Drosophila melanogaster: one gene and its partners. The protein of the gene in region 1 interacts with the protein of each later gene in a pairwise test. Each region holds a gene or a part of one and is shown on either strand. Other genes may lie near its edges. The genes, in order: CG15083, dmGlut, Tsp74F and CG31600.

Evidence for each region.
Region 2: the proteins of CG15083 (region 1) and dmGlut interact in a two-hybrid assay, tested with the Drosophila melanogaster proteins (one large-scale study listed by BioGRID).
Region 3: the proteins of CG15083 (region 1) and Tsp74F interact in a two-hybrid assay, tested with the Drosophila melanogaster proteins (one large-scale study listed by BioGRID).
Region 4: the proteins of CG15083 (region 1) and CG31600 interact in a two-hybrid assay, tested with the Drosophila melanogaster proteins (one large-scale study listed by BioGRID).

What each region holds. Positions count from the first base shown.
Region 1 is NT_033778.4:18,831,883-18,838,348, reverse strand, and holds CG15083 (uncharacterized protein), read right to left. Parts: upstream 3,087-6,466; 5' UTR 2,958-3,086; coding exon 2,837-2,957; intron 2,070-2,836; coding exon 2,002-2,069; intron 1,934-2,001; coding exon 1,771-1,933; intron 1,695-1,770; coding exon 1,594-1,694; 3' UTR 1,507-1,593; downstream 1-1,506. Other genes in the region: CG15099 (uncharacterized protein), read left to right, coding at 121-316, 373-715, 781-1,002; CG15098 (uncharacterized protein), read left to right, coding at 3,687-3,873, 3,953-4,038, 4,231-4,384, 4,565-4,698; CG15082 (uncharacterized protein), read right to left, coding at 5,234-5,559, 5,668-6,177.
Region 2 is NT_033779.5:12,024,144-12,034,583, reverse strand, and holds dmGlut (dietary and metabolic glutamate transporter), read right to left. Parts: upstream 7,147-10,440; 5' UTR 6,803-7,146; coding exon 6,763-6,802; intron 2,692-6,762; coding exon 2,513-2,691; intron 2,454-2,512; coding exon 2,007-2,453; intron 1,939-2,006; coding exon 1,315-1,938; intron 1,254-1,314; coding exon 1,053-1,253; 3' UTR 462-1,052; downstream 1-461. Other genes in the region: CG18788 (uncharacterized protein), read right to left, coding at 1-238, 317-359.
Region 3 is NT_037436.4:17,889,671-17,898,667, forward strand, and holds Tsp74F (tetraspanin 74F), read right to left. Parts: upstream 6,193-8,997; 5' UTR 6,096-6,192; intron 5,543-6,095; 5' UTR 5,361-5,542; intron 3,887-5,360; exon of another isoform or gene 3,782-3,886; intron 3,717-3,781; 5' UTR 3,708-3,716; coding exon 3,630-3,707; intron 3,553-3,629; coding exon 3,361-3,552; intron 3,143-3,360; coding exon 3,047-3,142; intron 2,984-3,046; coding exon 2,687-2,983; intron 2,613-2,686; coding exon 2,565-2,612; 3' UTR 2,150-2,564; downstream 1-2,149. Other genes in the region: CG7402 (uncharacterized protein), read left to right, coding at 1-16, 76-561, 637-794, 863-1,684.
Region 4 is NT_033779.5:21,912,620-21,918,679, reverse strand, and holds CG31600 (uncharacterized protein), read left to right. Parts: upstream 1-3,321; 5' UTR 3,322-3,377; coding exon 3,378-3,422; intron 3,423-3,481; coding exon 3,482-3,664; intron 3,665-3,713; coding exon 3,714-3,878; intron 3,879-3,931; coding exon 3,932-4,240; 3' UTR 4,241-4,411; downstream 4,412-6,060. Other genes in the region: CG11634 (uncharacterized protein), read right to left, coding at 1,379-2,275.

The DNA of each region.
Region 1 (6,466 bases):
AAGCAATTAATAACAAACTTTACCCTTTTAGTATGTAAAAATATAATTACTATTTATAGCTTAGTACCATCTCTTTGGGGAATTAACTAACATCAGCACTAACATTTTCAATTCCCTTAGAACAATTGGCCAACAGTCTGCGGCTGGTTCCCATGGGTCCTTCCGTGCAAGCGGCCGTTTTCCTGTGCTTCCGTGTGCTGCTTCTTCGCATGTCACCCGACCACGTCACCTCGCTGTGGCCCATAATCATAGCGGAAATGGTACAGGTGTTTCTACAAATGGAACAAGAGCTCAAATCGGAGAGCGAAGAGAGGAAGTAAGTCGAACACGAATGAAAAAAAGTAGTCAAACTAATAGTATCATTATTGGCAGCCAACAACTGCGCCTGCCTTCTGGGATTGACGTGTCCTGGTCCGCTGCTTCTGGAGCTAGCAATGGTTACAATTCCCAAACACCGATGCAGCACTGGCGATCTGTGCAATTGGAGGCCTGCAAGCTGCTTGAATTGGGATGTGTGCTGCCCGCAACCAAACTGCCACATTTCCAGATGTATCGATGGGCCTTTGTGGGCACCGAGTTCGATGTTCACGAGGAGGAGGTGTGCCTGCCCAACGGAAGTCTAGAGAACCTGGCTACCTTGCCCAGTGCGCTGTATGTTCCGCATGTCAGACGTGTGGCCAGGCTAATGGACATGAAGTACACCAGTCAGTCACCGGTGAGTAATTCCCACTCTCATCGTATGCGTCATCTGGCTAACTAGTCCCTTTGGCTTTGTTCCAGATACTGCAACGCCCCAGCAATAGACACCTGATGTTGCACTTCCAGCAACTGCAGTCGCTGCAGGAGCTGTACGCTTTTTTCACCACGCTGGGCATCAGTTGCCCCCAGCCGCGTAACTTTGCCGATACGGAGAACGATGTGGCCAATTGCTTGAAGGAGATCGAAGAGGTATTGGCCAATGATTTTCTGGAAAAGCTGCCCAGCATAACCACGCCGAGATGAAAACCGGCTGTTGCCCAACGGCAGACGCAGTCGCAGATCCAAGCGAGTGGGTCACACTTCGAGCTCAAGCTGAACCTGAACCTAGGTATGGAGTCTGCCATGGAGTCGGGCAGTACTGGCCAGGCTGTGCGAATACTGGCGGCCGTGCAGGCTAAGCTAACTACCCAAAATGCCGAGACGAGCTTTACGCAGTCGCAAAACATCAATAACAGCAGCAACAATAAGATGACCAACTTTCCATTTTATGTCTAAGTAAGCAGATTGGAGCAGAAGACGATGCCGAGTATGATAGCTAGCTATATAGATAGAGAACTGTGTCGAGAGTATATAATTGTCCGTAGTGTGATCGATCGTTTTAAATGTTGAATGTTTAAGAACGCGGTAGCCCAATAGCCAATAGCACCCTGTATGTATATGTATGTAACCAATGTATTTAACTGTTGATAGTTGATCCCAAGTCGATGTGAGTAAGAGATGTGCGTTAACGACAAACTGCAATCAAATAAAAAACAAAGCATTTTATTGCAAACACTGAGATGAACGAACGGTGGGCTCTTCCCCGACAATTTATGTAGTGTAGAATGATAAGGACTAAACCACATTCATGGCGCGCGGTGTTTGTTTGCTGGCTTCGCTGTTTTTCAGCTGGAGGTAGAAGGAGTACACAATTCGTGCGCTGAAGAGGATCAATACTGAAAGTGTAGCGGAGAATATGTATGATCTGTACATTTTTGTTAACTCAATTTGATGTTCATAGCCGATACTTACGAAATGTGATGATGTAAACGAGCAGGGCACCGAAAACGTTGTTCATTCCGGTAGCCTCGCGATATCCTCCGTAGTGGAAGATAACCCCGAAGACGGCAAACGGAAAGGAGATGGCTTCAATGGCAGCGAAGATCAGCCAGACGAACACCAGAATTGGCTTTTCCTGCAATTCGGAAAGGTAGATTGGGTTTCGTTGACTCAATAAAACGGAATGGGTTGTATTTTATTTACCTTCAGGGTTCCTATCAATAAGCAAATATTGGCGACTACTACGATGGCAAATCCAATAAAGGTAAGAACTGCAAGGATTCAAGTGAATTTAAATAGAAATTATTGAACGTACATATTTCATTCATAAAAAAAGCCGTTACAATTAGTGGAAAGTAAACATAAACTTGGGCTTATAAGTGACTCAATGTATTCCAAGCAAAACGTTGCTGTGCTCTTATCTTTCTTCCCGTCTGAAATTTGAGAACACGACTGCTAAATGTATCTTCGTATATAATGAGTACATATTGATGCACTGATGCACTTCATGTACATGTGTACATATACATAAAGAACTAAAACATAAATTCTTCTTTTATATTTTAAACACATTTCATACATGAAATATGACAAACTTTTTAAAACAGCTTAGAATAAGGTTTATAGAACTTCTTTGAGACATGGACAAATGCAGGGCTTTAAGTGTTTTTATGACATATGGCGTTCAACTGTTAAAACCCAATAATCTTTTAAGTTTAATTCTGCGCCATGCACAGCCCAAGGAAATTATTTAATTTTCTTTTTTGTGCTGGAAAATTCAAGCCTGTGAGAAAATGGCATTTCGGGCCACCTAAAATGAATTGTCAGCTCGAATTTGTCGGCGATGTCGTCATCGATGGTGAGGTGTTGTATCCAAAATGGTTGTGAATTGGAACGCGTTTGTGTCGAATGGATTAGCTCATTCGTTTATTTCGCATGTGAACATCATGAATGTATTGTCTCTCTATGGAAATAGCGTCAGTCTGGGCAATCAGCTTCTGAAAATAAACAAATGCCACGCCTCTCGCATTTCTCCTACCGTTTGGAGCGAATATAACGTTGAAAGTCATGCTCAATAGCCAATAGATCGCGATTCCCAGGCACCAGCTCCGCAAATCGGTATTGCACGGGCCATTTTCCACCGTCAGATCGATTTTCATTTTGAAACTCTGTGGTTTACAGCGAATTTTCCAAATACAAATATGGCTAGTATGGCACTTAAACCGGTTTGGGAACACCTAGCGCACGGAAACACAACCGCACTGGGCAAGAATCAAATAATAAGTGTGGCGCAAATGCCGATGCCGCTCAGAAGAAACGGTTGCGTAAACTATGCAACACGAAAATACTTTTTTTTCGAGCGTGGAAAAACTACGTCTGATATGTTCTTAAAAAATATATGTGCACTCATTTACTATATGAATTTGTTTGCATATGTTTCGTCATTTAAGAGTGAAATGAATAAAATGGGGAATTGTCTTTAAAATAATAGAGAGATTTAATGCTGTATTATATATGTAATGTAGCTACTATTAGCACCTTGAAAAATATTATGAAAGTAAGCCGCTGCTGTGCAGTGTTAATGAATACATAAATAAATATTTTTTAACTATCATGCCAAATAATAAATGCATAAAAATATTTAAAATATAAAAATGTTATTAAAAGAATTTTAAACAATTAGCGTTAAAAAGTCACATTAAAAGCTGGTGAACAAGTCACAGTTTCGACACCAACTGCTTGAACCAGTCTGGCAACGCCGCTGTACCCAAAAGCTTTTAATTGTCAGCCAATTGCGACTTATCAAGCAATTGCAATTTTGCTGCGCCGGCGAACTGAAGTAAAATTGTCTTTATCTTCGCATTAGCACGAAATCAAGTGAATCCAGAATGCTGTCCAGGGTCTTCTGTATGCGCCTGAACACCTATGGTGTGGTCATTGGATGGCTGGGCGTGATTCTATCCTTCTTGGCCACGATCCTCTTGTCCTTGGCCCTCGGATTCGTCGATGAAATTGCGCAGCAGATCGCCAAGGGATCGGAAGATTCTAACAAGACGGCCACCGAGATTCGCAGTGGTAAGGGCTAACCATCGAGTGCACCCACAACCAATCGTATATTTTTTATTGTATTTCATTGTTCTTGCGGTTATTGCAGTGCTAATCATCGTTTTCAGTGTTTACCTGGCGCTCAAGGTGATTAATCTTCTGGCTTCGGCCATGTTGGTTGCAGGTACCGTTAAGGTAAGTCTAGTATCAATATGCAATCTGTACAATCGCGTATATATGTGTCTACTATAGTACATATCTAGAGTTAGACCTTTTTAAAAGCCCACTATTCTGTAAAAAAAACCGGCAAGTTTCTTTGCAAATACATATGTACATACACCATACTAACTAGAGATAGAGATGGTTCTAATAGCGTTTGCCTTTCAGGAACGCCATTTACTCCTGCTGCCCTGGCTGATCAACAATGGAGTGCTGCTTGTCTTTGGAATTATCACCAATATTGCAATGCTGGCCCAGATCATCGGAAATACATCTTTCCTGAGCGCTCTTCCAATCATTTTCGTGGATGTTGGCCTGCTCTGTAAGTGACTCACCACTTCATACATACATAAGCTCTATCTGGAAATGGGTATACACAATACACACTGGCCGTTGTTGCGAAATTGTGGATCCCCATTGCGCTTATCGCTCGACGGTCTGCGATCGTTCTATAATTGCGCTTGGGCACGATGCTTATTTTTCTCCATTCGCTCGTTTTCAGTGCTGACCTGGTATCTCTACTACGGCATCTACTCGCTCTTCAAGCAGATCCAGGCATCCCGTGAGATCCAGCGCCCGCTGATCCCACAGCCGACCCAGCAGACCAACTCCTATCCCAGCTACACCAAGATTTAAGCTCCAGTGTAGCTTCCCGTTTGGCCAGCTCTTATTTCATCATATCCCTTTTCGAATGTTTCCAATGGGGCTTCCCCGATAAACCCAATATTTTTCTAGCTAGTAGCACCAAAATTATATACTACGTTGTATTTCATGCATCAGAGAATGAAAATCTGTGTGTACATCATATATATTTACATTAACGCGATTGTGTCTATACGTATATCCAAACGAAATGGCCAATACAAGATTTTTCGATTGGCTGCAAAAAAAAAAATATATATTTTTTATATAAATAATCAAATGGAAAATTATTTAGGGGCTTGGTTTACGCTTCTTGTTGTAATGTTTGGAGATGCTACTATTATTTGTTTGTAATTCGAAAATGTTAATACATACCATTCCTTAAAACTTAACACACTGTGATAGGCTTTCAAACATATATTTCTACACACACAGAGGGCATAAATTAAATCGAATCTTGGGGCGGCATTCGTTGCAGCTACTTAGGTAACTATTGATGGGCCATTCTGCTGCTCCGGCGGTCTCACTGTCATTTGCCCAGACCCAGCCACATGTAGCTGGGATCAATGAACTGGGAGCCGCGGTATCCCTGCGGATTGCGCGACACCAGCGATCGGATCTTCTGGGAGGGCCTGTAGCTGCGCAGGGCCTGCAGGAGCTTCGATGTCTTCCGGTCGTGCTCCTGCTTCTGCTCGGAATCCTCCGGAGCGTCGGGCGGCACGGGCGGCAGGTGCAGTGGGTGCGGGTGTTTACCCTCCAGCATACGCGTCTCCGACTCACCCAGTTGCGATTGCTCCGCGAAGCGCAGGTTCGCTTCCAGGCGGTTGAAAAAGCCGCCCAGATTGGTCATGGCTCCTGGAATGTAGAACGAATGTCACTAGCAATGGGTTCATTGGTTAAGGATTAAATCCGCTTTAAATTAAATCAAAGAATCCAAATCCTATCCAATACTCCATTACTCACCAGCACTGATCGAGGGCATATATCGGAGTGAGTCCGGAACCTCCTTTCGTTTCCAGGGCAAGGTGTAGGCGTAGGGGTACGTAAGCGGTGGCTCCTCGTCGTCGGGTGGCCAGTTGGCGGGATCCCTCTTAGCCTTGACTTCCGCAAGTGGAGGAACCGGAGATTGCCACTTGTGCTGCACCTGCAGCTGCTTGCTGCGATGCTGGAGGTGCCACTGGCGACCGAACAGCGTAGGATACGGGTCGAGATAGCTATCTCCGAATTGGTTATCCATTTCCGTTTCACTGGTTTTCGGCGGGGCATTTCCGCCATCGAAAGGGTAAAAGTTGTCCAAGGTGCGTGACGTCATCGGCGCGACCGACTCCCTGCCCTCGCTTCCAGCGAAATCCCAGTCCGGATCCAACTTCCAGTTTCGGTCCCACTCCGGCGGAATTTGACGGTCACGAGCAGTTGTTGGTGATGTCGCTATCGCCACCTGTGCACCGCCGAAAGGTGCGTTTCGTAGTGGACCTGGCGGTGGAGAAGCATATCGGCAGACGGGCCCATTAATTGTGTGTGCTCCCGCAGGATTTGGGGTAGTCACTTGGGTACAAACAGGGTTGGCTTCGCCAAAACTACATGACATCCAATTTCCGCTAGTGCCCTACAGATTTTAATTAGTGATAGGCGCAATGGCGGCTAATAAAAGGTCAGGTTTCAATTTAGAACAATTGCCGAGAAATGAAAAATTGCCGAAAATGTGAGATAGTTACGATAAAGTTTGCCCCATGGAATTGATGTCATATCTTCCGTTTAATTT
Region 2 (10,440 bases), on another chromosome or scaffold:
GCTTTTAGGCGGCTTCTCAGTTGATATTCCGTGTGATTCAGTGCCATGGCCAGTTCAATACGCCAGTTGGGCAGTGCCTTTGGATTTAGTACTTGAGGAACGTTGTCCACCCTATGACCACCACATTCCAATATGATTCGGTTAAGCGTACAGTCCAAGCACAAACGCATTGTGTAGGCATTAATGATCGCCAAAAATGTGAAGCAGCAGAGAACCCAGCGCTGTCGCACCTCCAGATCTGTGGAATGGAACGGGTAACCATCTGGTTGTAGTGGATGCCACGTAAAATCGCTGAATTATGCATACATATACATACATATAAATATATCGCTCAACTTTTGCTCAACAGCGGGCAGCATTTTGGTAACTTTGTTTTATAGAAGTTGGACAAATCGCAGAACGCCTACTAGAAGATGCCCCTTTAGACTATTTAATACCTATTATATGAGTATATCATGAATACATTTTTACAAACTGGATTTTAGATTTATAGTTTTAATTAGCTTTATACACTTTATTTGACTAACATCATAAAAACAGTAATGTCTTAACAGAACAGCTAAAAACACGCTTTACTTTACACATTGATCAACAATTTAAAATGTACAAATTATTTCATCATTTGATTTACAATACGGCAATACGAGCTCTGGTACACGAAATCCTTAATGCGAAATCGCAGTTTGTTTAAATACTAAATAATAATTAAGAGAGTACGTTGCGTGCGCGGCATAGGGGTATAGTTTAGGATTAGGATTAGGCTAAGGATTATCCTAGCTAACAAAAGGGATAAACATGGTAGCACTGCGGACGTTCGGGAGTGTAAGTAAATTCGCTTAAATTAATTAGTTGGCGCTGATGCCAGGGATCGGCCAGATCGGGAATACTATAAAACTAGCAATTTGAACAACAGCCACTGCGTATACAGCATGACACTGCTTTTGGGAACCACTCGGATCCCAGATTACGGATTCCAGAATCCGCGTAGACAGCACTTTAACTAGATTACAATGTATACATATATGTATGGCACTTTTTTTTGGCGATCCACCTTACGAGCTCTGCTCCAGACCACTTGTCTTTTCACCACCCACCTTGCGCTCCTGTGCCTCAAAGTCGACGGAGCGCGGCTGGATGGGTGCGTTATTGAACGGCTGCACCTCTCCGGATGCCCAAATGCAGTAGATCACGGCAGTGAAGCAGAGCACGCCAAAGGCCACCCAGAACACAAGACGCCACTCCAGCAGCGAGGCCTGTAAAAGGAGAACAACCAGATTAGCTAAAGTTTCAAAACATCACCTTTATGATACTCACATTTGGTGTCATCACGCCCACCAGGTACGGCGTGATCACTCCGGTGATTGCTCCAATTCCGTTTGTGATGGCCATGAGCGTTCCGGCATAGTTCGGACTCATGTCCAGGGGACTCAGCTTCATGCCCGCATAGTAGGCGCCCATCAGACCCATGCAGATGGTGAAGAGCACCACGACGAGGACACGATCGCAGCCGGCGTAGGAGGCGCCCACCATGAAGATGGCCGGACCGAAGGCAGCCAGACCAGTCATCACCTTTCGGGTGTTTGTGGTGCTCAACACGCCACGGCGGATCATCCAATCGGCCACAAAGCCACTGCCCACGGAAACGATCCACATCATGACGTAGGGCAGCGAGGAGTAAAGACCGTTGGCCTTGATCGAGAACTGAAGAACGTCGGCCATGTACTTCGGCAGATCCGTCACCATGATGTAGAAGCCCCAATCGTGACCAATCTGGGCGGCCACCAGGGCAAACATGGGCAGGTTGGTGAGGATGGCCTTCCAGGGAGTGGGGGGCAGGTCCTCGTTGCGGCTAATGGTTCCAATCTCCTTGACCAGATACTCGCGCTCGCTGGGCTTGATGAAGGGATGCGACGTGGGATCGCTGTAGCAGAGGAACATCTACGAGCAAGAATAGTTTGGATTATAACGAGTCTTGACTATGTGCTAAGTGCTCAGCCTATACTTACAAAGATGGCAAACCAGACAACACCCAGACCCCCGAAGAAGTAGAAGACAAACTCCCAACCATAGGCGTCTATAAACACGCCAGACAACAGGTTGCCCATGATAGTACCCACTTGACCGCCACCCAGCACCAGAGCACCGAGCTTTCCACGTTCGTTGGCCGGAACCCAAGCAGCTAGGAGGACACTCAAAGCGGGGAAGGTGGTTCCCTCGCCCAGACCCATCAGAACTCGGGTCACAATCAGCCAGTCGGAGTCACCCTTGTTAATGGCCAAAGGCGTTAGCATGGTGAACACGGCGGTGGACAGAATGCCAAGGCCCAGGGTCCATTTGCCACCGAACTTCTCGGCCAGCAGACCGCCGGGAATGTGGGTGACAATGTAACCGATGTAGAATGAGGACAGGATCAAACCTTGCAGCTCCTCGGACCATTCGAAATCGCCACCAACCTGGAAAGATTTTGTGTTTAAAGTATTATCTTCTGATATTACTCTTAGACTCTACTTACACTGGTTCCCTCGTCGATGTCATCGGGTTCGCAGATCGCCTCAGAATCGTCATCCGTTGAGTTCTTCTTGACCACCAGCACCGTGATGGCCTGTGATAGACAGACGCGCATCGTGTAGGCATTCAGGATGGCCAAGAAGCCCATGATGGCCAGGATCACTCGCTGGGGTATCACGAAATCTATGGACGAGAAGATAGCGATCGGAATTGACGTCAGTGGGTGTCTTGGTGTACATTAATTAACCTGCTGGGCAACATTTGACCAAACACTGCGTCAAACATTTTACGAGCCAAGCGGATTTGCGTCTCACATATATATTGTTTAAGCAATTTACTTATTTAATTCGGTTAGCGTGCGAATAAATAGTTTGACGGGTGACTCAATTGGGTACAAATCAATTTGCGCTGATAAACTTCAAATTGCACTTGATTGCTGTGGCACTATATCAATTAGCTGAACTGTTGAAGCCGATTTTAGTCATTTTTCAATACGAATGATTGAAAAAAGAGTAGTAAATTAAGTATAATATAAAAAAACGCTGCAAACTAGGTAATAGAGATTGTCTAGAACACTTTCAGAACATTTTAAGTTTTAATGCTTAAACAAATTATATGCCACGCAGATATTTAATGAACGCTTAAAATAATCATGATGACAACAACATATAATTTTTAATGCTCACGACAGATCGTTTAGTTTGAAACCAGTTTATAATTTTAATGATAAAGAAATTATGCGTAGACAACTGCGACATGGCGATATGATCATTTAAAGATTAAAGAATATATTAGGCCTGTTCCGATTTGTAGCCCTATTTTCTCCCTTTCTCTAGCCATGAATCATTAGAATGGATTTAAAGATGATCAAATGTAATATCTTAAAGGTAAGCAAGGGTATATAACCTACATAACTCAGATTGCAAAAGTATCTTCTAGTGATCTGCCATAAAACAACCAAATAATCTTGTTCCAATCAAACTCAATAAATAAATTTGCGGCAATAAAGTGCTTAGTTTGATTAAATATTTAATAAATCATGTGCTGATATGCGGGGGATCGCAAGAGTAGATAATTTATATGCTCTTATTTATGGACTGCCATTATAAGTTATTTTATTTTTTATTTAGTTATTCAAAGGTATTTGAGGAATTTGTCCAGTTTTGTAGACCCGCTCTTTCACGAACTTCCTGTCTCGTGAGGTTTATGGCTCGTGCTTAAGTTTGGGTTGAGCAGCATGGTCGAAAGATTAGCGGCGCTATGCACTCGTGTCCCAATATCAATCACCAATCACCAGGCAGCGATCAACGGACGTAGTTTATACGACCATCGTATCGCAATCAAATTGTTAAGCGGAATTACGGCCCGATAAGGCGGAGTGTGCTAGATCTGCGATAAACATTTGGAGTGCAATGTGAAGTATGCGAAATCGCTAACCGAGAACAATGATCATAAACCAATGGCGGCGCCAATTAAGTAATTTTGGGCATAAATTCATAGGGCCTCGAAAATAGATGGCCGCCTATGAATGTCGAAGGTTGAATTGATCATGTTCTTTGGCACGCTTAGTTAACATTGACCAATCTCATTTCAAACGTATTGAAATAAACGATCTAACAAGAACGGCACGCAGATCACTTCAATCTGAATCTCTGGATTGCGAGTAAAAAAACAAATAGTAGCCTGGCTTCTTGGGTAAACACACAATCAGAATCCAATTCATGACAATATTATTAGATCACCCCCGCCGCAGTCGACGACTTCTGTTGTTTTTGTTGACACCTAACCACGACGACTCCACCTACGTCAGATATTTATATGTTTTGTTTTGTTTTTTTTTTAAGCCAGCCGCCAGTAAAAGTTAAACAATCATGTGTTTGCCTTCTTAATGGCATTCGAAACTCCCCTAGTTTATGAGAAACTGTTTCGCAAAAAAAGCCCATCGACGTCACCAGCTGACAAGTTTATTTTACCTATAAATTAACATCAATATATCTTTTGCTGGCCGCAAATTGCATTAAGCCACCGTAGCTGGCAAAATTAACAATGTGCCAATATTTGACAGGTTACTTAACCAAATTCGACACGAACATTTATACGCGCTCACTCCACGAGTGTCAAATAAAAAAATAAAATAAAGAAATAAAAAATATGATTGCCAAGTGATAAGTTGATAAGCCGCCGTATATGTAAATGGGTGCTAATCATATCGCCGCCCGCCAAGTATGCCAATAATTTCAGACCATCCAATCCAATCGGTGGCGTTAATATATGACCGTACTCCATCTAAGGACCTCCACCCGCGATAAGCTATTCAAGATTTAATCAGAGCTTGCTAACGCGACCTTATCTCGCGCATATGAGTGGAAAATGAAAGCTGAGTGGGAGGCGGCGGGGGTGAGACTCACTTTTAACTAGATTTAATCGGTCACACCTTTTCCGTAAAATTCTTTTCTTGCAAATGCAACGAACTTGTAAAGTTGGCCCTTTCTATTGAGTACTTATTGAGAAACTGATTACATTTAAAGTACCTTTTACCTATTTAAATAGGTTTCACAATCCCACGAATAAATTATCTGCGACCTATACATCATTACTATTTCAATTGAAATACTTTCTAATTAGCCAGACAATGCAATTGAACTAGTTTCAATTATGGGAGTTTTTGTTGAAATCGATTTGCACAGATACTATATATAGAATATACCTAAAATAAAGCTAAGTGTGGGTATTTTCAATATTAAATATGTTGATAACAATTTAAAAAAAACATCTCATAAAACTAATTCCCCTAAATCTTAGTTAATTTCAAATTTCTACTTCCTTAAATCTTACTTAATGGTTAATTTCTTATGATGAAGATGACTTTTGGTTTTTTAAGTAATAACGATTGTCGTTCGTATCCGTTGCGTTAATGAGAAAACGAAAACAATTCCATCCGTTGACATTACTGGGCCTGCGTCTCTTTGTCCGGCAATCGTGAATGTCTAAGAGATAGCCCCGAATGAATATAAACCTCATTTCTTTCGCTTGCATTTCCGCGGTCTTGCGAAAATTATGTCAATGGGCCTGGGGGGCAGAGGGTCGCTGTCAGCGAGGTCCGATTGCCGCATAAGAACATATACACCAGATAGTACACCCAGGCCAGACCCTTCCATATGATAATGAGACTTTGAGTAACTGGGACGGGGGCCATAAACGAGGCGATTAGTCGTGCTGATTGCCGTAGCTCAAAACTAATGTCCAATAGGGTGATTTATGGCCAAATTGTAAATTTTGTTAGTTCATTGGGCTAGAACTTGTGGCAAAAAGCCTTTGTTGGTTGAAATTTAAAGCACAACATATAATTCATTGGAAAAACAAGCAGAATACTAAGCTATATAACAGAGCTAGTTAGCTAGAACTAGTACAGCTCAAAAGCTAATTAGTTTTTATAATTACTCTGGTTGGGGTTTAGTTTAGTCTAAAATGATACGAAAATCATAATAGGCTTACGTGATTTTTATCACTCGCATTCCAAGTATATTTAATATTTTATTTTCGTAAAACTCTTACAGCTGAAATGGTTGCCCAATCGGTCGAAAGAATTCTTTATTGCATTGACCTTGCCCAAAAAAGAACAGAGCGAGATGGGGCGAGGAAATCGGTATAGGTATAGGTATATATTTGGGCAGGTCCCATAATTGGTTGACAAAGTCCGTAATAACCGTTAGCCCTTCGATCGTGGTGTTTTAGAATCGAACATATGATACCCTGTTCTTTATCGCTGGCCAGTTAAGCAGCAATTCACATGCAAATCGTATGCAAAATATTTACCAATTATGTGAACGCATGCCGGGAATTTCAATTTGAAGAGACCACCAAGCAGCGAAACACAAACAAAATGCACACAATTCGAAACAAATCGGAAGTGGCAGAGGCGTTTTGTCATTGTTTTCATTTATGCACAATACATATGGGATTTTATATACGTTTCTTCTTCTTCTTCTTCCTTTTTATTTTATTTTTTTGTTTTATATTGCTGTCGGTCAATGTCGGTTAACTTTAAGCGAGCACTACCACTCGAAAATGCCCCCCGAACGATCGCAGGTTCAACGATCCGCACAATCCGCATTCAGAATACACCGGCGCACGCAGCACTTCCTTATGGCCATTTCATGATGATGATGATGACGATATGATGATGTTGGTGGTGATAGTGGTTGATGGTTGTGTTTGTGATATCCCATGGATCGAAGGATGTGGCACACTTACACCTCGATAGGCTTATGCCCCATTGTGGCTGTTGCGTCATCTCGGTACTAATTGGCGGCGGCTGCGTCAACAAGCTGGTCAGTTCCTTCGCCACGGTTACACGGGTTTGAAGGACAACGGCGGATCCTTAATATGAACTAACGCGCACACGACTCTACGCTTTTTACCGCTATTTCGGCTACACAGCAGTCTCTGTTTTCGTTTTGCAATAATATTCTATTCGGAAAGCGCAGATGCAGCGGAGAAGGAGAATGTGGATGATTACTGTTAGGCCAGTGATCTCGAACTTGTCTCCAAATCGGATTCGAAGTGCTAACCGAATTCGAACTCGAATTCCAAACCGAACCGCGCACGCCGCCAGCCAAATTACAAATGAGAAATTATTCCCGCCGACTTTAGTTTATATTTATATGAGAGCAGATAAGCGCCGCTCTGCTGCTGCTGCTGCGCAGTCGGCGTCTCTGCGGCAGAGGGAGTTTTTTTTTTCATATTATTTGATTTTATTTTCATTTTTCGCTTTTCGTTATTGTTGTTGTTTTTATTGGATGCCGGCCAACGATCGTGTATCGCTATATTGACAAGGGGAGTTGACTCGTAACACTTGCTGTACATGCTGCCACAATTGAGCACTGCGAGAAAATACGTGCAGCAATACAATATTTAGTTTGTTTATTGCTCAATGGTACTTGGTACAACGAAATATTAACCACTCTCACAATACGTGTTAGACATATACCAAATTTTTAATTAAATTTTATTTATTTAATTAACTATTATTTTGTTATACAACGGTAACTTAACAAAAATACAACTGAATCTCTATAGTGCACTATTCCAACCATGCTCCAAATACAATTAAGCTCAAAATACAATTAACTGAATGGATTAATATTTGAATCTGCTTATTTCCTATCAATTTTGCTCACCACCATTTACGCTAAAACTACTTGCTATAATTAAACTTCAATTATTAATCTAATCTGTGTTAAAAAAAAGCTATCTTCCAAACCACAGTACCCACACCTCTAAGAACCCTTAACTATGATTGAATTTGCTTTTTGAAAATATTCAAGTGTTGGTAAGTTGACTGCTTTTCTCTCTGTGCACGCATTGTAGCACCTCATAAACGCGGTCGCTATCTTGGCCGGGTCGATCGGCGATCCAATCGCATTCAATCAGCCATCGGGCCACCGCATGCGTGTAGTAGATCAATTGACCAAATGCAACAACTATTAGTGCGCACCACTATTAACTATTGGCCGCGCGGAATGGAACTTTGGTTCATTTGGCCATTTGAAGCCCGATTTCGATTTCAGTTGGTATCAGCGGGCAATCGATTGTGCGCCGAATACCTCAGCGGTTTTCCTCGCATGCACGCGCTCACTTTATGTCGCTCTATAAACGATTGGATCGCTAAATGAAAAAAACGAAAAAAAAACCCACCTTGCTACCTTGCTACGTATATGTATACAGATGCCAAGCTTCGGTTTAGAACTCGCAGAACCGGAATGCACGAAACCGAAACTTTGGCCAACAGAATGGCCCAGACAGAAAGGTAGCTGCACCCAACGAATTGTGCGTCTACAGCCCATTTCTCCGATGAAATCATGGTCAACTGGCTGCTTACCAAGAATTTTCCCTCCAAGTATACCCTACCTTTGGTACAAATTACATATATATGCTTTATATATAAAAATAATGCAAGTTAGGATCTGTTATCTTAATATAGATATATTTTTGTTGCAACTGTAACAAGTTAGTATTACTAACTTTATCCTATTGATAAATAATACTTATAACAAGATACAACCGCGATTAAGGTTTGTCAAAACAATAGGACCACAATAAAGCGTGCGGCAATAAACTATTCTAAGTTTGCGCACACTTTTTTAAAAATACAATTTCAAGAACATTTACATTTTTTTATACACATCTCGTCTGGATATAAAACTATATGCCTATATATATATGTACTTTAAATCCCATAAGTATGTCAGAGCACCAACACATTTCTTTGTTCACCACCCATCCAACCAGCCGACCGAGCCATATATACTATACATCATGTATCAAATGGGACATTGATGTCCGCGCGAGTGGCGATAGCAACAAGTTCCATCTTCAAGACGCACTGCAGCAGCCAAGCTGCCCGACAGTCTGCGTTGTAGGGTATTCGACGGAGAGCGACAACTTGTTGCGGCTCCATCATCAGAATTAGTTTAGTTGTAGTATCGGCTGTGTTAGTTGGTTAGTTAGTTAGTCAGCAGCGTTTACCGGTTAGAGGCGGGTTGCGACTTTATGCAATGCAATTAACTGAAAAACAGGGTGGTGGGCGGTGGGAGATGGGCGGTGGATGGCTGGGGGTCGCGAGAATGGGGAATCGCTATCGTTTATAGTCGCTATAGGGTGAACCACCTCAAATCGCCCCTGACACTTCTATTGTACGTTCATTCAGTATTCATTACAGCCTCAGTTTCGATTTCAGATCGAATTAAGAATCGAAACGTTGCTATACTACTACTAAATGTGGATACATCTGTATCTGCATACTCAAAAATTGACTGCCGAGTTAACCAGTTACAGATGCGGTTCAATGCAGCTCAGCTGGGTTATTAATATACATTCTGTACTTTGCTTATATTCATATCTGCCGATATATGTATATACATTTCAAGGGGATACTTAAACGTATTATTCGTGGAATGTTATGCGATCTGTTTCGGTTTTACTTGGAAAGTGCTCAATTGGTGTCTCAATGAATCGTACTTATGGCGGGGATTATTGTGCGTCCGTTAAGATTTGGCACATGCATTATCTCAATCACTATCGCCGGAAATATAATCCTTTGCCGAGTGCTCTCCATTTGAAGCCCAAAGAGTATGTAAGTATGTATGTATGTAGACCATGTTTATCAGTTAAACTTTGTCGGCCTTATCGATGGCACACTTTGTCCAGACCAGACACGAGATCATCCAGGTGACATCTGGGCGCAGATAACCGGAGTTGGCAGAGAATTCCAATCTGCTGACAGCGACTTGGACTGGAAATATTCCGCGTCTTGGGCCCAAATGAAAAGTGACAAACTTCAATTGATGTGCACCCCATCAATTAGCCGCACGCACATCGCATCCGATCCACTTGAAACGACCGAACATCCAACATCCATGATATCCGATATGACCACCACTGAGCTGTGATGATCTTCAAGCTCCATCGTCGATCGTCTCGTGTTGAGTTCATTAAGTCAGCGAACCATGCTGCGCAAAATGATGCTGTTCTGCAATTGAAATTGAAATGTTTGTCCACATAAATTATCGAAATATTCTGAATATATCCGACGATATGGAAATGATAATACATACATGTTCGCTCGACGGACGGATACTAGAATCTAGCCAAAACTGGCTCCAAACGTCCGTGACCGAAAACTTAACCAGCTTGAACTGGTAATTTGGACAGATGGACAGATGGACAGTTGGACGGTTGGACGGTTGGACGGTTGGACGGACGGGCAGACTTCGCGGCAGACGAACAATAATAGCACTCAATATTTAACTCGCATACCAAATATTTTGCGTTATTTGTATAATACTATGCCGCAAATGAATTGAAGCGGCCCGAAAGTCGTTCAATGGAATGTGACGAACTACAAATATGAATCCACAAAGTATACACTCT
Region 3 (8,997 bases), on another chromosome or scaffold:
TATCCCATACACACAGGTAATATACGTTTTACCAACGAAAAATCATTTAATTGGCTTACATCCGAATATTTTCAGGCATGCAGCACTTTGTGATTATCACCGATGAGCCGTGGGGCCTTCCTCAGCGAGAACGTCTTATGCCCGAAATTTTCCGGGATGCGGGCTACTCGACCCATTTGGTGGGCAAGTGGCACTTGGGCTTCTGGCGCAAGGATCTCACGCCAACAATGCGTGGATTCGACCATCACTTTGGCTACTACAATGGCTACATTGATTACTACGACCATCAGGTGCGAATGCTCGATAGGAACTACTCGGCTGGACTGGATTTCCGGCGGGATCTGGAGCCGTGCCCCGAAGCGAATGGCACTTACGCCACCGAAGCCTTTACTTCGGAAGCAAAAAGGATAATTGAGCAACACGACAAGAGCAAGCCGTTGTTCATGGTGCTCAGTCATCTGGCGGTGCATACGGGCAACGAGGATAGTCCGATGCAGGCTCCAGAGGAGGAAGTGGCCAAATTTCCCCACATCAGGGATCCCAAGCGACGCACTTACGCTGGCGAGTTAACACAACGCGTACATATATTGTAAATCAAATTAATATTTGTAATCTTGTTACTACTTTTTACCACAGGTATGATTTCCAGTCTGGACAAAAGCGTGGCTCAGACAATTGGTGCTTTGAAGGATAATGGCATGCTGAATAACAGCATTATTCTGCTCTACTCAGACAACGGAGCACCCACGATAGGCATCCATTCCAATGCGGGTTCTAACTATCCCTATCGAGGAGTAAGTAATCCAGGAATATCATAAAAGCAATGAAACTAGAATATTTATTCACCTTATTTTACATTCAGCAAAAGGAATCGCCGTGGGAGGGTGGCATTCGATCGGCTGGTGCACTGTGGAGTCCGCTGCTTAAGGAGCGAGGATATGTGTCCAACCAGGCGATACATGCCGTAGACTGGCTGCCCACACTGGCAGGAGCTGCCGGCGTATCCTTGCCGCAGGATCTTCCGTTGGATGGGATTAATTTGTGGCCTATGCTGAGTGGCAACGAGGAACCGAAACCAAGAACAATGATTCATGTACTCGATGAGGTTTTCGGTTACTCATCGTACATGAGGGATACTCTTAAGTATGTAAACGGGAGCAGCTTTAAAGGACGATACGATCAGTGGTTGGGTGAACTGGAAACTAACGAAGACGATCCCCTGGGTGAGAGCTACGAACAACATGTCTTGGCATCGGATGTTCAAAGCCTACTAGGAAATCGGGGATTAACTAAGGATCGCATCCGACAGATGCGCAGTGAAGCCACCGAAACGTGTCCCCCTATTGAAGGACAAAATCCTCTGGAATCTCATTTCAAATGTGAACCACTGAAGGCTCCCTGCTTTTTCGATCTGGCCAAAGATCCCTGCGAGCGATACAACCTAGCCCAAATGTATCCACTCCAACTGCAGCAACTTGCCGATGAGTTGGAACAAATTCGGAAGACTGCGATTCCCAGCGCCCGAGTTCCGCATTCTGATTCAAGAGCTAACCCGACTTTCCACAACGGAAACTGGGAGTGGTGGAATAATACGGATACGCAATCAGGTTCCGGCACCTTCTCCATCAATTTATGGCTTGCGATGGGTAGTATTATAGGCTTAGTATACAGAAATCTGTTGTAGCTGTAAGTTCTTAGTAGAATAATTTTTAATAAAAGTTAATTAAAGAAAATACTTTTTTATTCAAATCTTTAAAGTCGCTTGAGTGCGAACTTATTTTCAGTTAAATAACATAAAAGTTGTTATATTATCTGATGATAATTCACTTTGTAAACACCTTCAGGTCACAGCGTGATCCATACTTTCCCTATTTTCCCGCTTCAAAAATGTGACTTAAGACAAAAAAAACCTAAAAATATGCAACAATATTGCATGTAGATTAAAGCTTCGATCAAAAACAGTTTAATACTTTAAACCGTTTTTTAAATACAAATTTTTACGTAACATGGACATATTTCATGGACCAGATCATTTTAAATATTTATCCTTTTTCGTTTTTTTTTTATACTCATATCACAACATATCGTTTAATGATAATTGGATTAAAAATAAAAAATATTAATATATATAAACATTTCCGAAGTATTTGGTTTTAACTAATTTTTATTGAAAACAACAATGGACAGACATCTAAATTCTCTATTAAGTATTGAAAAGCTCACTTAAAACTAGCAATTGTAATGGGTTGTTGATAACGGTGGCTTAAGAGGAAATTTACAAAACTTCACACAAATAATACAAATTTATGCAACAGATAATAACAATAGAATCCCTACTAAGTTCAATACTCACTAGTTATGCGTATCTAAACACGTATATACATACAATACAATACATAATACAAGCGGACAGTTGATCTGTGCAGATCTAACATTAGCATACACTCAGATAATACTCTTAATTTAACTCCAGCGAATTATGTTTAAAAATGTGTTTCTTCTGGACTGTGGACCTTGGTATCTGATTTTCCTGCGTGACCATGGGATTCCCCTCCTCGTTGGCGCTATTCGATCATATTGAATAGTAGACAGGAGAATATCATGCCAAAGATCTAAAAATAAACCAAATTCCAATTAATTATATATTATATAATAATTTTGCTACCGAAGAAAGGCGTTCACTTACCATCAGTATGGCCACCGCTATGGATGTACCTCCAATAACCGCCGCGTGATCCCTGATGAAGTTGGTCGTCACATAGAGGCATCCCTGGTTGTACAGATTCGTAATGGTCGGGAAGATTGTGCACTCCTTACGCTGTCCACCGAAAAGCTCCTGGCAACAGGACTCAGGCACTGGTCCGTACCTATTCCAGTCGTGCCACGTATCCACTCCGCAGCACTGTAGTCGCTCCTGGGTCAAATCCCAGGCCTGGGTGATCTCCCTCCTGCTTCCGTATAGTGCCATCGTGGAACGCATTTCCTATGGGATATTGGTAAGGGTTAATGTGCCACCCACGTGTTGTTATCGATGGATTTGCCTCACCTGCCGCATGGTCTGCTGAACTCGTTCGCGGAACACGTAACCCAAGACACCGCCAATTAGCATGGTCACGAAAACTAGGGCCACTATTATGAAATACTGCAAAGGGAAAACGAGTGGTTAATTTTTTAGCTAAATGGTGTTTGCATAATAGTAAAGAAGAGACTGACAACATTTAGAAGATTAAATCAAATAGATCATTTCTTTAGATGGTATCTTTGTAAATATGCAAATCCAGATATGATTACTCCAAAAAGGACAAAGTTAATTATTTAATAAAATGAAATTTTTGTTTTTATTGTTTGTTGTTTACTTACTGTTAGGAGGAGGCATTTGACTTCTTTTCCGGCACCAACACAACCCAAAAAGGACACCAGACAAATGATAATCGATGTAACCAGCAGGACGTAGACAGCACCCGAGAAAAGATTTGTACCGAGCAACTCATTGACGAAACTCCGATCCACCAGAGTCCACAGGGTGAGACAAAACACAATCGCTCCACCCACCTGGAAAATACATATATTTTGGTATTATTTATTTCTCTTAAATTGTTTTTTAATTCAAGCGACTCCTGGATACTCACGAATATCACAAAGTTGGCTATGAAAAGACTGTACTTGACGAACTGCCCGCAGCAGTCCATTCGCGAACTGAAGCCCATATCGTCTTCCTTTGAAAGGATAATACATTTCAATTAACCAATTCAATGGGATAAAAAGATTTCACATTGTTTACTTTTGTCTACAGGTGAAGAGCCCCCAGAGGATATTGATGCGAGGAGAATTATGCAGGGAATTTGGGGTAGGATGAGATGCAGAGGTTCTTGATGGCGATACAACTCTATAATCCAAAGACAGATAAAAATAATTTCACACTATGCTTTAATTAAGTTAAAGTTCTTAGAGATCATTCAATTTCAACAGGTCCTTAGCGATAACCAAGTTAATCATAACTCATCATCCCGATTTCAAATTAGCTATTTTTGGCCTACTCTCTATTGCAATGTGATGTAATCTCAAGAATGTACTTTTTAACGAGTTTCTTTCGCGTAAGATTCACTCCAACATATGGGCTGCCTATCAATGGTGTTCGGCTTGGCGAGTGGTGCGCATGCGCATGCGCATGCGCAGCTGTGGTTTCGGCCGAACGTTTCGCTCTTTCTAAGCCGGGTCCGAACCGCGAAGCGACCGAAGTACACTTAACCATGACCCACTTTATGGAACTGCGACTGAGCAGCGAAGCTGCCAACGCTATGTGCCTAGACAAGCGTTCATTATCGGCGGTGGCTGCCAACGTCTTGTGGATTTTGTCAGTTACGGCTCTAAAGACTCGCGTTTTTTTTTTTTTTTTTGGTTACTTACATCGCATTAGGCCCACTTGAAGGGTTCGCTGCGCGGCGATTCCGAGACGAATTCCCCCCGTTGAAGTTGGAGCGATCAAAACAAATAAATCAAAGTAATAGCCTGCCCGAAAATTTGTCAGCTAATTGTAGTGGTTTAACTACGAGTGCCGTCCCAGCTCTGAATCATCTTGGCGCAGTGCGATGTTCTAAATGCTAATTAAAAGTAATTGCAGGCTGAGCAGTCGGGTACCCCTTCACCCCACTAGCTGGTAAACGACATCTCATTTCGAGCATTATTCTCCAAATTCAAATATGTTAAGCCGCAGTCGAGTTCGCCAGGTAATTGGCGGGGCTATTAAAAAAATGTTCTCACACTATCTGAATATTCACTATATTTCATTCGACGTTATCATGTTAAGCGAATCCGAATCGTGCCTGAGATGACAGTAAGTCATCCGAAAGTCGCCATTAATGATGACGGGGCGTTGGCGGCGGGGCGAATCACTATATCTGCCGCTTGTAAGCTGAGACCAATTAAGTTTATGGTAATTGTTCAGCTGTACGTGCTACACATGGTAATAGATCACTTAAAGCTCGGATTCCAAGTCCTGTCACTCATGAAAAACTTAGAAAATCAGACTTTTTAAGTACTATCTACTAAACTCTGAGCTCACTCTTTTATGCTCCTTTCATACCCTGTTATCTATCTGTAATCATAGGAATAATAGCTTTACTAGGTCATTTATGTTTAAAACTCGTATGTAATCTTTATTTGTAGGTGATGTTAGCTTAAAAGTTAGTGAGCAGAATCGGTCGAGGCTATAAATATGAAATATGTACTCCTTGTTTATACTCGAAGCTTGAAAATATAGCAGTGAAAATAGGAAAGTGGTCGCATTTGAAGGACCTCTGTATGAAATTTATGATTAATTAAAACAAATGAAATATTATCTAATAAGCAAATTCACTTACAAGTTTGCCGTCCCGTAGCACAAACGAAGTTTTCGTTAGGTAACCAATTTTGGCGGTTTTCTTTCTCAGCTTTGTGTATGTAAATTGCCTTCAATTTGTTGTTTTGCAAAAACACAAAGCAAAACAAAAGAAACGGCTACTATTTTTAGTTGCACTTGAATGCACAGAAACTTTGGGAGTGGCTATAAAAAAAGAAGGAAATTATTTTAACCCTTTCAATTAACATTTTTGTGGTAAGAAGTAGAAGAGTTTTTAATTTCACTTTTATTTATAAACAACTTTTTGATGAAGACGCATTCATTCATTTTTTCGGTCGATTTTATTAACTTGTTTAAATTTTTGGTTCATTCTTCATTCAGATCACTTCATTCAGATCAAAAGAGATCGCAAAGTTTACATACGCATATAGCAATTTATGCAATATTCGTTAATATTTGCTCTCGAATTTTTATGAAACTTTTTTAATACAGGTTTCTTGCATTTGTTTTAAGCGTCACTCGCAGTTGATAATTGTTATTGAGTTTTTATTCGATTGCTGTTGCTGTTATTGTCAATTGCAGTTCTCCCATGGCAAACAACTTTTTTTTTGCCGCCTTGCTTTTAACATTTGCTTTTCAAGTTACGTCACGCTTGCCAAGGCAGCATTATCCTTAGCGGAGTTATCACTGTACTGTCGGGATATTTCGTGGGGATAAAACTATACGATTCACTTGATGGACCTAAGTCTCGCCTTACAGGGATTGAGTGGATCCGGGGAGCTATGATACTATGGTTTTATATGTGGGACAGGGACGACTCTACCGCCCGAGAGCTCGCTTGGAACTGGTTGTGGGAACAGTCGGGGCGATCGGTTTTTTATTAGTTTCGCTCACAAAGAGCTTCGTTGTTGGGCTTTTTCTGGTCTCGGTCTCTCGACATTACAACAACTTCGACTTGAGCCCCTGTTTTCGAAGGCTTAGCACTGCAGGTGCGAGAGAGATGGGAGTCTCTACTCGCTTACAAACCGCAAATACTTCTCTGAATGTTTTCGTGCTTCTCTCTTATTTATTCATCTATTTTTCGGCTTCTTTTACCCACACTTCCCTTTGCGGAGTCGGCATGTGAAAATGCGTTGAGCAAACAAAATATGATCCGTCGTCCACAGCCAGCACCTTTGTTTCATTTCGGGCAATTGCAAAATATAAATATTGATAAGCAAACGAAATTTGATATTTGTTTTAGTTCTCGGTCTGCACATGGCAATGTCCGCATAATTGATTTTGGAGGCAAATCTATCCGAATTGGTTACCGTTTTGTTATAACAGTTTAAGTTTAAATACTTTTTGAACAAGGATTATTTGTAATGATTGTTTTCTTTCTTCAGTTGGATCATTTGCATCTATTTGCAACCATATTTATATTCAATATACGAGTGTTGATCAGACAACTTGATAAAGCCAAGTTTGTCAGTCCGTTCCTTTCTTACGCATTCTAGAATCATAGTTTTAAAGCTTGGAACTTTTCTAAAAATCTTCTTTTTATTGCTCGTAGTATGTGAATTTGTCTTCTGTATCATGTATGTATAAATATCGAAATTTAATTGAAAATATTAGAAAAGAAATCAAACATTGGCGAGGCTATCTTTCTTTCTTGATTTCAAGGGCTTAGTGTTCCAAGAGAGCACAAGGAAAATATGCTTATTATCCGTGTTTCATGTTACTTTTGCTGGTCGAACTCAATTGCTGTGCCGAAGGACAACCTTTGGCAATTAACAGCTTAATTTTCTTGTTAGTCGAACAAATAGTTTTGGCTGAGTTGAGTAATTTTTTAAGCAGTTTCCAAGCTAAGGTCAGAAAGTTGGCTGCCGATAGACGAATAGCTCACCCTCCCTACTTACACTCCACAGCACGGTTGAAAAGCGCTCAAATTGTTGGCTTGTTTAGCACTTTTATGGCCGTGTTAACAACAACCACCCGCCATGTCCCCGTAATCACCGACCAATGTGTTAGTTGCATGGCGAAAATAAAAATAAATCATAAAAAAAAGAAAAACAATTACTCTGCCTGTTGATTTTGCATCTTATAAACTCGCTGTGGGAACCTTTTGCGTTTTATAGATGCCATAAAATCCATTTCCACACACTCGTCCCACAGGCGCCTCATGATAAAATATTGCTCAGAAATCGAAGTTTGCGACTAGTGCTCAGTTATTCTTGCTCAAGTGGCCAAGAATCATTAATATTATGGGGAATTCTTAATTTTAAGCCAGTCAATTTCGCCTATGAACCTATACTTACTGAGATCCGATTAGTGTGAGCGAGTTGAAAGCCTCGTTGAGCTCGGCGAAGGTGACAAGCGTCAGAAGCGTTAAATTGTGGCACTTTAACTGATTGGAATGAGTCAAAAATTGGGAAGGCAAGCAAATGACTACTGGTAGTGGAAGATATAATTAAAATGTTAACCGAACTGCGCATACAACCGAGTTAACACAGCAACATGCATCATACATTATCAGATGCAAACTAAAGTGAAACATTGAAAAAACAACAAATGCAACATTTTTGATTCTCACATGACTTATCATAGCTGCTATAACTCTACTTACGCCTTCGCCACTTACTGATCTTCGTATAAAAGCTATCTCAATCAATCAAAAATTTGCATATTGCATTAATAAATTAATGAATCTATGGGAATGTGTAGTGCTCGTGAATAATGCATTGCGAAAGTTGAAAGGTTATCAATAGTTAATTATATAGAATTTACTTTAGCTTAGAGGAGTATAAAGGAACTTTTTTACACAAAATTCTATATATAAATAAACAACATTTTCACGCAAAGTGACCTTCCGAAATTCGAACTTGAGGGCTGGCATTTATTTTGGTGGACAACCGCAAAACGCAACTGAATCCCAGATCTTGACCAACTCAAGTCATGTAGTTTTTCCCAAGCTCTACACAAGTCCAAACAAACTCCAAGTGCATTCTGTGGCCTCGGGCCAAAGTCATTAAATGGCTAATCAGTTGGAACAATTGTATTCCCTTTTGGCCACCGCTTAGAGCATGTTCCACCTCCTCCCACGAAAACACACAGATATTCGGCAAACAAATAGCCAAAATATACATCTGAGTTTAGTCATGTGCCCGCTAATTGGTCGGTGTCAGCTCCAGTGATTGTACGTGGCGATGTGTCATCCAAATGCTGAATATAATGTCTACCGATCAGGTCAGGCATTTCCAACCAATATGGCAATCTTATGAATCCTAAGTACATAAATGATATGAATATGAATCATTTCAACGTATGTATATTATGTGTCTTGTCCAGAAAACGGTTTGACGAAAGTTCTGAGAATGTTTTCGTTTTTCAATTTAATTAATTTCTGAATATTTACATGAGACTCTTCAGATAGAACATCACGGAATGCGATTTTCCTTTTGTTATTACTCTGTTAACTTCCTATCCGCACACAAATTAATAGTTTTAGAGAACATGTAGTAACTATAAATGCATATTATATTTTAATCCTATTCCTTTATGTTCAATATTTATTATGGCTACATGACACTTTTAAAATTATCTACATATTTAATTTGTTTTTAAATATTTTGTGGCGGCACCTTTAAATTTTGAAAAATGTTGTAAAACATCGTTCCTGT
Region 4 (6,060 bases), on another chromosome or scaffold:
ACTATTGAATGAGTGACAAGTTCTGCAGACACGATTGAAACTGACAGTTAACTCGAGACTCGGAAGGCAGTGACTTGCATTGAATATGGGTGTACTAGATGGGTCTTCAAATGTCTTAATGGGAAGCTCCAACGATCACTGAATATGGATCAAAGCTTGGGCTTTAATAAAGGCAACATATGCATTTCACCTACCAGCTACATTTTTCTTTGTATAAGTCTCAAACTTGATTTGTTGCCCCTTTAGGCTATTAAATATGTATATGTTAAATATGTTGATGTTAAATTTGTCACCTGATGCTCTGGGAATATTAGGGTATGTTAGATTCGCTGAATTGTATGGCGACAATCGACCATTTCGGGTTTTCACTGGATGGATTCACCAATAAAATGTCTATTTTAAAAGACTTTATTGGCCGTCGGACAGGTCCTGATGCAGCTGACAATAATGACGCTACCAACTCGATAAACTCGGTGACTCACTGGCCATTAACAATTTCATTTATTTTGTCACATCGGGCGAGTGAGTTGGGCTTGGTCTGTCGGGGACATTCGACCCAGTCTGTCTGTCAATGTCAACATCAATGTCACTGCGTCCTGGACCAGACATTTTGACAAATAATTCAAACCGCATTTTATAATGAATTTCCCAACGCCCTGGGAAGGATGAGCTGCCCAGAGGAGGGTGTGACTGCACCTGATAAGCCTTTCCCCCTTATTGGGCCAGATACATGCGGGAGATTTATGGGGAATAAATTCCAAGGCAGAAAAACACACAAAACTGATAATTACACTGACGAGCGGGCTTTATTTTTGGATTCAGACCTTAAGTGCCCAAAAGCGACGACTTGGCGTCACTCATACGCTCATCATACTCCCATAAAGAAAATGATTTTATGGGGCAGATGCTTGTGGTGACTCCGGAATGCTGTGCGATCGTAAATTTATTCGGTCATGCCCAGTATCAGATTGCCAAGTTGAATATAAGTATCGGCTGCAGAGCTAGAAAACATTCTTACAGTGTTCGGCACGAATAAACAAAACAATATTTAAGCGAAAAGATAACAGACCAACATTTTACCATTTCTCAATGTCCCAATAAAATTTAAAAAAATCGAATACACAGTTAGTCACGCTGTGTCGAATTAATTCGCAACCTATATACAAAAAACCTGCGTTCATTAAGACGCCCAAAAAGTCAATATCCGGAAGAAAAGAAATATTGTTATTACCGCTGACAGCTGCACTTACATTGTATATTGGCACGCATCATGAACGTTAATAACCATAAAAACACCCAAAATAACTTTAAATTTTGAATCTGCCAAGCACTTTTGCGAAATCGGATGAAAGGGGAAGTCGTGGAAGTCATTCCAATACTAAGCTTCCAAAAAGAAGATAGCTGCGTGCTCCTCCTTGTGATCCTCGATGTCTGGCAATATTTGTCCGCCAATGGGAAATACAATGGCTTTGAAATTGTCATAGATACGTAGGGTTTCGAAGTGAAAGCCGTTTTCAACTACCACGTAATTTTTCTGGGCCTTGTGTGGCTTTAAAATTGGCGACAAGTCAACGTTGGCGCAGTTTAGAAAAAAATAGGACGAGCTGAGGGCCGCCACGAGATCGTAGCATCCAGTTAGCGTTTCGTTCCAAATGGAGACGGATGCGAAGGCCAACGATTCGCACTGACTTATGGCAATGGCCTCCTGGTTATTGCGGAATGTGTGAAATGTTACTACTCCAGTTGGGTAACTTCCCAGCTTATCGTGCGTACAGTCACACACAAAAATGGGTGAAGCCATTGGTGGGGCAACCTCCGAAATGCAGGCCCTTATTATGTTAAAGTTGGAGGTGTGGCATTTCTCCAGTGCTGCCAGATAGCTAGGATGTTCGGCCACAAACTTACTAAGAGGATGTAGCTTAGACAGGATTCGCTCGACGATCTCCCCGCGAATTTTCTCTTCAACCAGAACCATGGCCACCGCATTCGAGGCAAAGGGATTATGAACCGACTCAATAATAAAGTGCAGTGCACTGTTGATGTCGCCTTCTTCAAATATAATCATCAATTGGGGAGATGAAGTGACATCGTGTCCTATATGCCGGTCAGCTTCCGATGTCATTTCGATGACACTGTGATCAGGTGATCTTCCCTCCGGGTTATGGACCATATCGTAGGTGACGACATGATCCAGTGACAAGGACTCATTGTGCTCCGACTGGGACGGATGCTCGGAATCAACTGAACGCGGAAAGTATTTAGTTGTATCGAACATGGCTTATCAAAAACTTCACTGTAATGTAAAAAATTTGTTTTTATATATTTTGAGATTTATTTGAATGGCAAACGCGATTGGATATGATTAAATGAAACATTTCTGACACATTTTCATATTTCAATTATTTTGTTATTTTTTTTAATCTACCAGGAATTCTAATATCACTTGAGTACTAAGTACTAAACCGCTCAATGCGGCGCACTCTGAGTCCTAACCATCGGCATTTATCAAAAGCAATATAGTTTTACTGGCCCCTTCCATCCATTGCCACATCGAGGGAATTCAAAAGAGCACCCATAACCCACGGTGCCCCTTATTTGTTAATCGCTTAATTTATGATCAAATGCGACAGTAAAATTAAAATATCACAAACAGATACAAAACACCAAAGTATTTAGCCATCGTCCAAATAGAATGCCAGAAATGCATTGGATTTGTTGAAATTAGCATTAATAATTATAAATATTTTGCCAAAATATTACAATTTTTATTGTGCATTTCGAACTACACCCTTTTTGACTTACAACAAAGAGCATACGATTATGAAATAACAGAACAGAGCCAACAGCGACAATTAAAATATTTAAAGCCACAGAAATATTTTTTCGCATGGCCCATTGGCGAACTGAAAACCCACAACAAAAAGTGCGTAGTAAATTTCCTAACGAGTTGAGGGACATCCATGTGGACATCAAGTGCAGCAACAATACAGCCATATACGGAATGATAATTTTGCTAACGATGACCATTTACATATATCAAGAGTAATTATAATAAAATGCCGAAAATAAAATTAAAATTAATATAGAAAGCCGATTATAAAATCATGTTTATACCTACAAACAGTTATCGCACACACTCTCATTCGTTGTAGCAAAAACAACTGTCAAAAATAGCAAATCCCATAAATCAACAATGAAATTTTGCCAGAAAAAAGGAATTGAAACACAAATAGAAAAACCTGCGTGATTTCGTATACATACATAATTGGGAAAACAAAAATTTGAATTTATGTGGTAGGCCATTATTTCCAGCTTCGAATATTTTGTCAATTTGCGTAGAATAAAATTGAGCTACGTATATTAAAATAATTCTCAAAATGGTAGAGGGCATGATAAAAAAGCTAACTGCTATTTTATTTGGGGTAAGTATTTAATCAGCAGCCCGTCTTCAAGTTTTTACTGACAACTTTTCTACACTTAGCTTGTATTGGCTGTGTTATTTCGAGTAATTATACCCTTTACTCTGCGACTTAAAAGCGCTGAAATAACCATTAATGTGCTTAACTGTTTTAATTTTCTAACAAGTACCGTTTCCATTACCATTTGCCTGAATTTGGTCAGCCTATACTTAGCCAATTTGCGTGATGATTGGCTTGTTCTCGGGGTAAGGACTTTACCAAAAAAAAAACGTGAGGTTGATAATTGTAAATTAGCTTATACCGCTGCAGATACTCGTCCTTCATTGGACTTACTTCACAATTTCAAAACAACTAGAAGCCATGAACAGGAGCTATAGTACATTCATGGATAGCTTAAACCTTAAATGGCTGGCATACTCCAATTTTAACGAGACAGATTGGCCTTCGATTGAAAATGCGGTATGTGTTATGCCTTTGCTCATTTGCCCTTTCAAGGGTTTTGCTTTTCACAGGTTTTATGCTGTGGACTGGAGGGTCCCCGTTCTTATATGGATTATCTACAAGGGGTTCCAACCCACTGCTACCATCCCGACCTTATCACCCAAGGTTGCAGTGACTTTGTTAAAAACATTTTTATGCCGATACAACATATAAGTCATTTGCAGCTCAGATTGGCTATTTTTGTGGAACTGGTAATTTTACTTATTCTTGCTGCAACGCTTTTGAAGAAATGTATTTCTTTGATCGGCGAAAGGAAACATAAAAGAGTTATTACACACGGGCTTGCGGTACTAATAGATTTAGTTAAAAACACATTTTGAAACATTAGCCTTATTAACCCTAACCAAATACTACTACTCTATACACTACCATGTAACCATTCTTGAGTACTAAATGCAGTTTCTTGTAATGTTTGTATTGTTTTAATCTATGCCACTGTATTGCATACAATATGTAGATGACAAATCGAAATGGAACAAAGAAATAAATTGAAATAAGCTGTCTTTTATTGCCGATGACAATTTGAATAAAATTAATATACAGTTTATCCTATTTTTAATTAATAAATGTCAAACATTTTGCGAGTATTGAGTATGAGTATTTAATTGTCTGATTTGTAATTTGGTTTTTTCCTGTTGTCTTTTTGTCATGGAAAATTGGTTTTGTTATAATTCGTTCGATGAGTACGAAAAAAGTTTCAAATGGCGAATGGAGTGGTAATAGGGTAGCGGAAACACACTTTGGTCTTGTGCAGCGGAAACGGAAGTGAGTATTAGAAGGCAAAATAAACTTTCGGAATGGAAAAACAATTCACATTAAGCAAAACGTACACATTTTTGACAATTCCATACCGTTATTATTGGTCTGAAAATGTACCGGTTTGCTTTTCCAAATTATAATTTATTGTCTTTTTTGGTTTAAAAATGTATATAGATAATATCAGGAAATCAATTGTGGAAAATGCATGAACGAAGGCGTGACCTAAGGTAGATGTATGAACAGTGCTTTCTATTAATTTAAAACAAATTGAATTTTCTTTATTATTTAATACCCCGCTAAAGAGATATTTTAAAAACAAGAGATAATGCTCGGATATACCGAGTTCCCCGACTGTGAGATACTAGTTACTCAGCTAGTGTGTATACGAACGCGAAAGTGCATCATTTTTCTGGGATATCGATAGATATTGGGAAATAAAATGACCGATTCGGAAATCGAAATATTGTTCAATATTAATAAGTGACTAATAAAAACGTGAAAAAATATAAACACATTTTTCAAAAGTTTGGGCGTGGCATTTTTATGCCGTTTCTGGGCGCTAGAGTGGGCGTGGCAACATGGGTCAACGATCTTGCGCTGCGTCTTTGTTTCTACAATCTTTATGCTGAATCTCGAACTTCTCGTTTTAATAGTTCCTGAGATCTCGACATTTATACGGACTGACGGACATGGCCAAATCGACTCGGCTATTGATCTTGATTAAAAATATATGTAGCTGTGTTCAGAAAAATAGCAGTGCGAAGGAAACTGAGTAATACAAAGGTATTCTTCCAAGTCCCTTTTCGGACTCGACTCTTTTTTACACGTACACTTATTACGCACTACACGGCTAGTTTTTCATGTTATCCTTTTTTTATTTACATTTTACATTACATTGAGCAAAATCACAAGTTTTAGACTGTTCATAAGAATAGCAGTGTCTGGTTTTGACCAACGTAAAGTCCCGAAATTATAAATATTTTCTAAAAAAAAGTGAGTTTGGTTAAGTTAATTCGCGTATTTAAAGGGGCAATAATTTAAAAAAAATTATTTTAGTGGGTAGAGGACAGCACTGCTCCCAGGAGAAAATAATGTTAATTTTTAAGCTAAGAAAGGAAGGAAAAACATACAAGGACATTCAAAAAACCCCTGAATATTCTGCCAAAATGGTATCCAATGCCATTAAATATGAATGGAAGCCGAAAACCGTGGTACCAAAGTCTATCCTTTTGCATCCCCTAGGGAGATAAAGTCTGAGCTGAGTGACGTTACTATTCGGTGATAACTACCTAATCGAAATTTAATTGCGAGTAGTCCCAGAAAGGTTCCCGTACTTAGCCCAAGGCATATTAAGGCAATGTGAAACTTCGCTAAAACCTAC